Linked DNA regions of Arabidopsis thaliana. The protein of the gene in region 2 interacts with the protein of the main gene of each other region in a pairwise test. Each region holds a gene or a part of one and is shown on either strand. Other genes may lie near its edges.

Evidence for each region.
Region 1: the proteins of PRP4 (region 2) and AT5G28900 interact in a two-hybrid assay, tested with the Arabidopsis thaliana proteins (one large-scale study listed by BioGRID).

The regions. Positions count from the first base shown.
Region 1 is NC_003076.8:10,923,406-10,927,338, forward strand, and holds the start of AT5G28900 (Calcium-binding EF-hand family protein), read left to right. Parts: upstream 1-2,229; 5' UTR 2,230-2,446; coding exon 2,447-2,599; intron 2,600-3,345; coding exon 3,346-3,573; intron 3,574-3,663; coding exon 3,664-3,769; intron 3,770-3,851; coding exon 3,852-3,933.
Region 2 is NC_003075.7:18,096,645-18,100,577, forward strand, and holds the start of PRP4 (proline-rich protein 4), read right to left. Parts: upstream 1,990-3,933; 5' UTR 1,805-1,989; coding exon 1,657-1,804; intron 1,564-1,656; coding exon 365-1,563; 3' UTR 1-364. Other genes in the region: AT4G38775 (uncharacterized protein), read left to right, coding at 817-963, 994-1,038, 1,060-1,114, 1,162-1,223.

The DNA.
Region 1 (3,933 bases), on a different chromosome or scaffold from region 2:
TGCTTTAGGTCTCCTTGTTATTTGTTTCTGTTGTCGCTAACATTTCTGGTGGCCACGTTAACCCTGTCGTTACATTCGGTGTCTTTCTCAGTGTGTCAGAGGTAACATCATTCTCCTCAGTGGTATTTTCTACTTGATTGCTCAGCTTTTTGGCTCAGTCGCCGCGTATTTCCTCCTTATCTTTCCCACTGGTGACGAGGTAACATCACTTATTACACTTATTGCCTTACTAAACCAGGTTAGTATTGTTTTCAATTTGATTTTAGTTGTAATTTCGATTATTGGTTTTTTTCTTCTTCTCTATTTTCTTCACAGTTGTTATTAACCAAGAATAGTAAATATTTAAGATTCGTATAATACAATAATGTTTCTATTATATTTATAATTTCAAGCTGAGACTAATGTTAATATTTAGATATTTTAAATAGAAAATCATATGTTTAGTAAATATTTACCAGGTAATGGAAGATTTGTGTTGGCAAAACCAACCAAGTGAGCGTAATTGTAAACTTTAAACCCAATCGCCTATGTCTATAATCATAATAATTTAATATCTTTAATAACACCATACCAACATATATGAACTTCATACGTTAAAAAATAACTTGAAAGAATCACAATCGTTATAATTTACCGTTTATTTTTCTTCCTATCATTTTATAAAAAACAACTATATTTTCTAATTGATCGACACACATTTCACCAGCTAAATTTGTTATGAAATCAACATGTTAGAGGATTTGTTACAAATTTAAGGTTAATAGTGCTCAAGAAAATATTTAAAAATATAGAAAGAGTGATGGTTGAAGTTCTTACTTATGATAGGTTCATATGTTGAATTAATTACTAATTATATTTTACTTATTTTAATAAGTCTAGGTGGCAAGCTCTCATGTGCTGATGTGTCAAGTTGTGGGAGAGAGTTGAGCTCCTTTCATATATATAATTTACGTTATATTTTGCCTCTTAAGTTTTGTAGTGACCATCATAATTTCTCTTTTGATGTCTTTGTGGGCAAATGAGGTAATCTAGAAAGAAATTACATGGATGAAGATGATATAGAACATACGAGATCTGATGAATGACAGATTACTATAGTTTTTCTTTTCCCTAGTTAATGTTGTTAATAAGGGGATAATTTTGCTAAATTTGGTAAAAGTACATGAATTATATATGATATGTGATTTAGTCAAGAAAAATTATGTGAACCTGATTAGATTTTACCATGTCTCAGGTTTTCAAGAATGCAATTTTTATTTCCATGGACTAGTTGAAATAGTTACCTATAAAATATCTTATGACATAAATCGATCTAGATATGATCTACATACAATTAGAACGCTTAAACGTGGAAACTTAATTGATGATATGCTTTATGGTGATCAAGAAGAAGATATCAACAAAGTGTTGAGATACTAACAAAAATAGTTTTTTTTTCTTGTTGTTATAAATATTGAGTCAGACTTTAAGTTACACGTATTTGCAAACTATAGTTTTGTGTTAGTTTTTTTGATATCAACACATTTCTATTTATTTGGCAACAAAATACTTTTCATAAGAGCATTTCTATGTCATATATTATAATTTATGTGATAAAGATAAAGATCACGATTTCCCGATTGACAAAGAAAATCTTATGAAATATGGAAAACATGATATGAAACACATCATATGTTTCTCATTCGTCAAGTATTTTTTATATGATATATAAAACTTTCTTTCTTTCTAGAATCCATGGCTCTTGTATAAGGTAGATTGTCTAACTCGTTACTCTAGATAGTATATTATATGAAATTTGTTTCGTAAATATTTTTCCTTAAGATTGGACTACCAATTATGAAGTAATATTTTAACTAATGTGTGGTTGACAAAATATAGAAAAAATCAAGAATCCAACCACATGTTGAGAAAAAAAATTTCTACTTCAAATACACTTACTTATTTTTATTATTTAGTCAACGAAATATTAATTTATTTATGGACATATTTTTAAAAATACCATAAAATTAATTTTTGTTATAAAACATTATTAGTAGTTTATATTTTTTTGAAAGTACCACTAAAATATATTATTTTCTGAAAATACCACAAAATTACTTTTAAAGTTTTCAAAACTAGATCCTAAACTCTAAAAAATAAACCCTAAACCCCAAAAAACTTAACTCAAACCCAAACATTTAATAAATTATAAACCCTTAAAATCAACTTTTTGTGTTTCAAGTATTTTTTGGGTATCTCTCTAATTTATTTATTTATTTCAGATTGCTCAAAAGAATAAATAAATAAAAGAATTTGGCTGTCTCATTTCCTTGTTCGGAATCGGAGAAGAAGGAAGACTAGATTCGATGTGTTGGTGAAGAAGATCTCGACTTTGTTCAAAATTCCAATTTCGCTCGCCTCAAAGATCATTCTCTCATCTTCTCGACTTTGATGCGATTGATTAAATATGGTGGATACGGTTATTCCCGGAGATATGGCTTGTTTGGATGCAGATTTGTTGCAGCTTCAGGAAATGTCTTCCTTTGTTCTCAATTCTAAACCTGGATTCACTCAGAAGCTCTTCGACCAGTGGCTTTCTCTTCCCGAAGCTCAGCGACAGGTTTCTGCTTTTTCACTATTCTTACACTCATGCTTCTTAGCTTACTCTCTGTTAGTTCGAATCTTTCTTTCGTAATGTTACAATGATACTTCGGTTGCTTACTTACTCTGTGGTGTTGAGGATTGGTGTAAAGTTTGAATCTTTCTTTGATACTGTTAGTGGGTATTACAGTGATGCCTTAGGTGGTTACTGATATTTGGTTGCTTAATTACTCTCTGGTTTCTGTTGAGGATTGGTGTAAAGTTGGGATCTTTGATAGTGTTAGTTATTACAATGATGCTTAGCTTACTGAGAATGGTGTAAAGTTCGAATATTTCTCTGATTGTGTTAGTGAGTATTATAATGATGCCTTAGGTGGTTACTTAGATTCGGTTGCTTAATTACTCTGTGGTGTAAAGTTCGTATCTTTCTTTGATAGTGTTGGTGAGTGTTACATTGATGCTTAGGTTACTGAGATTTACTCTGTGGTGTTGAAAGATTGGTGTAAAGTTTGAATCATTTTTTGATTCTGTGAGTTATGACGTATATTCTTATTTTCTTATGTGAGTATTACAATGAAGCTTACGTTAATGAGATTTGTTTGCTAAATTACTCTGTGGTGTTGAAGATTGGTGTAAAGTTTGAATCTTTCTTGGATTGTGTGAGTTATGACAATGATGCCTTAGGTGGTTAATGAGATTTGGTTGCTTAATTACTCTCTATTCACTGGAATCTCTAGTCTAATCTTTTTCTCGTTGGTTTTCTAGGTTGGATCATTGCTTAAGGATGCTGTAGCTGGAGCTCCTATCAATGTTACTGGAAGTGCATCGGGTTCTAATTCTGCCACTATACCATCTATGTTTCCTGCGGGAAGTGCTCCTCCGCTTTCACCAAGGAGTTGTGGTTCACCCCGTACAACCAAACAGAGAGCCCCTTCTAACTTAGGTTCTACTCTCAAAGTAGTCAACGAGCCTGTTAAAGAGCCTATACCTCAGGTTTCTTTTCCTCTTTTTCTTCCTTCTTTATATATATATAGTAATGGAATGGAGTTAACTCACTGATTTCTTAACTTGAAATGATTCTAGTTTTATTTCCAAAATGGTCGCCCTCCACCAAGCGAGATTAAAGAGCAATGTATGTTTAGAATCAATCACTTCTTTTATGGTCACATGGATGGCTTGCAGATACAAGGTTAGAAGTCAGTCATTTGTTTTCTACTAATTATATTTGAACTGTTTATTAACTTTTTTCTCCATTTTCAATCAATACTCAGAATTCAAGTTAGTCACCAGAGAAATCTGCAAGCTCCCATCTTTCTTCTCCACTTCCCTTTTCCGGAAGATCGATCTCAACAA
Region 2 (3,933 bases):
CCCATTTTTTCACCTTTTTTACAAAAAATGTACGTATATATTAATCTCCCATATGTTGTCGCTTAGTGACAAAAATATGGTCAAAAACGTTTATGCGCGCGAAAACGCAAGCAAGTTTTTTCTCCCGAGGACTCTTTAACGCAAAATTCTTGTTGATCATCTCATGATAAAAGAGAAACGTATCATTACCATATTATTGTTGGAAGATTGCGGGAATATAAACAACCAGTCTACACAAAGAGAACTCAAAGCCAACAAAAGAAACAAGATATAAAACATATGCAAAGATAAAATATTAAAAAAAGGCAAACACGTTGATTATACATGAGTATACGTATATCTATATATACGTATTTAATGTTTCTCAAGGGTGTGGAGGCAACGGAGGCCATTTCCCGAACTTGGGGTGGTGAATGTATTTAGGAGGAAGAGGTGGAAACTTTGGAAGTGGTGGGAGCTGTGGAAGTGGCGGACATGGCTTCTTTGGAATCACCACTACCGGTGGTTTGTATACTGGTACCGGCGGAGGGCATGGCTTCTTGGGGATCACAACCGGTGGTTTGTATATTGGTACCGGCGGAGGACACGGCTTCTTCACAATTGGTGGTATGTAGATTGGTGGATGCTCTATCTTCGGCGGCGGCTTGTAAACCGGAACTGGAGGTGGGTGCTCTATCTTCGGCGGTGGAATGACTATCTTTGGCGGCGGCTTGTGGACTGGAACCGGCGGTGGATCAACTTTCTTAGGCGGACAAGGCTTCTTCGTTGGTGGTTTGTGGACTGGCACCGGCGGTGGATCAACTTTCTTAGGCGGACATGGCTTCTTCGGTAGCTTGTGTACCGGAACGGGAGGTGGGTGCTCTATCTTTGGCGGGGGCTTGTAAACCGGAACCGGAGGTGGCTTCTCTATCTTTGGCGGTGGCTTGTAAACCGGAACCGGAGGTGGGTGCTCTATCTTCGGCGGTTTAGGTGGACAAGGCTTCTTAGGAATAGGCGGTGGAAGCTCCACCTTTGGTGGTGGCTTGTAAACTGGGACAGGTGGTGGAACCTCTTTCTTAGGCGGTGGATCGTAAACCGGAACCGGCGGGGGAATCTCTTTCTTTGGCGGCGGCTCGTAAACTGGTACCGGGGGTGGAACCTCCACAGGAGGACTGTATTTAGGTGGACATGGCTTCTTGAGAAACGGTGGAAGTTCCAAAGGTGGAGGTAAAGGGAAAGGATGATCAAAGCCCTTAAAAGGAGGCAACTTAGGCATAGGCCAGAAGAATTTGGAAACGCAAATCTCCGGTGAAAATTTCAGATTTTGTTTGAGACCCAAAATGTGTTTATCCCCGGATTTGGATAAAAACACGATCTTGGTGGACTCAAGGCCGTCGTGAGCCGGACAAGGTGTTCCCGCCGCGCTGTGAAGCTGAGCGTAACACTCCTCCTTTAACGCTCCGTTGTCGGAGACAATGTCATGAGGAATATTAAGACCAAACTTTCCTTTGTCGTCAATGTTTCCCGAACCTTTTGTAACAAAATGGCCTTTATTCACCTTACAGTCGATCGTCACTCGAAGTCCTATAACAAATAATATCACACATTGATCAAATATATATTCACAAAAAAATAAACTATATAGTACATAAGATATTAATGTAAGTTATGAGATACCTGAAAATGCATGGGGGGTTTTGATCTTGCTCTCGGCGTAACCGACAACTTCGACGACACGAGCGAGTGAGAGAGTCGCTGATAAGAGAACCGACACAAGAAGGAGAAGACACGGAACCGAACCTCGAGGTTCGGGTAAGATCCTCATTGGGATTCTCACCCTCTGAGATTTCTGACACACTTCCCTTTCGTTTGCTGAAAATATAAAGATTATAAGAAGAACAAAAACAAACTATAGAGTATTAGTGGGGAAGGTGATGATATGATTATAGTGAGACTTCTTCTCGTTTATATAATGGTCTTATCAAAGATTTTTCTGAAGATTGATCGTAATAATTACTTCCGAATTAATTAACGTTTAGTTTTTTTTTTTTTTACCAACAATAATTGGATTCGGCGGTTCCTATTATTTTGTATTGTGTATCATTTATTTAATGTCGTCATGGTCCATCTTCTCGTTGTTACTTTCGTCTATGCGGCACTTTATGATATTTTTCATGCAGGGTGGTTGAAACACATTGACTTTTTTTTCCTTAATACGACAACGGCATTCAAATTTTATTTTTTGTTTCCCTCATCAACGTTATTGCACGAGACATATGCGTACAACTTTTGACACACGAAACTTTTGATCCGCAAATATGGTTAATTTTATTGTTATAGAGATTGCAGGATGAGCATGCATATACTTTTTTTTTGTTTCACACACACGCTATGGTTGAAAAAAGAAACTGAATTAATCAGTGCGTGTATACGGCTCCACCAACCCAAAATTGAAGCGGATCACATTATGGTTAGAAGAGAAACTTAAATGTTTTTATGGAAAAAATATAGTCAGTCACACTACTTGTCGGCTTATATTTCTTGTCCACTCCGTATATATTTAAGTAATTATTTTACCGGAAATCCATTACAATGCTAACAAATATTCTTAACATTTGCAGTTATGCACGCCATGATATCTACTGTTTTAACCGTATATACATAACAATAAAATAAAGTAGCTAGTAGTAATAAACTAACGAAATTTGTCAGAGAAGAGGACTGATATGATTTATTGGCATTTGGTTAGATGGAGATAGAAGTTAATATCTATCATCAATCTACTTCGTCTCTGAAGTTAATTGGCAAGGCCCTTCAATAAAAGCAGCCAGCTCAAAAGCCTACTAGTATTTGTTCCTTTTTCTTTTTTTTTTCTGGACAAGCTAAGCTAACTACTATTTGTTCATTTTAATTTGATGAAAAGTGTATACGTAAACGTTTGATTACTAAATCTCGTTTTGTTCGAAATGAATAGAAGAGTTAAAGAACACTTATGGAATATGAGAACGTATCAACTTGATAACAAATAAGAACGCATAGCACTTTTACAAATTCAACTTTATATATAGTACAAGAATTCAGCTACATATGTATCGCCGTAATTTTCTCTGAAAACTATTATATATTGTTTTTACACAAATGACCGATATCAAATGTTGAAATTCAAAACTTTCACCCACTCTTCATTGCTAGTTGCTACTAAATCCTTACACGTTCTTATGCAAAATTAGCAATATTATCTGATGTCGCAAAATTGACATGATGCATATATATATGGGTGCATGCAATGCAATAGCTAGTCCGACTTTCGAATCGAGAGACGACCTGATTAGATATATAAAAAGATAAACTACAGTCCTGACTGCGTTCTAGGTGTTAGAAACTTACAACGCGAACTAGAAATACAGAATTGAGGATTATATGTGAACGATATCATAATGTTGGTTGCCATATTAAAAGCTACACCTACTCATCCACGCCCATTAATACGGTGGCTTTGGACAGTTGTACAATAAGAGGTTCAAGTTTAAAGTTATTATTGTATATTCATTTTCTGGTATACAGAAGAAATATATACTTTCATAATGTACACATAATCGCTAATAAGGCCCATTCTTAAATGTACGTAAAAACATGTATTCAATAGCCTAATTGTGTAGATGGTGAGTGTATATAGTCGATCGGGGTATAACCTATAGCGACTATCTATGCTTCCTTTATAAAAATAAATATATGATCGCTAATTTAAGCAAAAACAGATGTGTCTTATGGAAAATTCTTTTTCCAATAGATATCTAATTATATAGAGCTTAACTTTTTTTTTTTATATTGCATTTTGCTTTATGTATACTATTATGATGTATAATAACATAGTTAAATATGCTATTTATAATGAAAACACAACCTTATCGTGTGTTTTAGCAAAACAAATCACAAATTGTCTGTACACAAAAA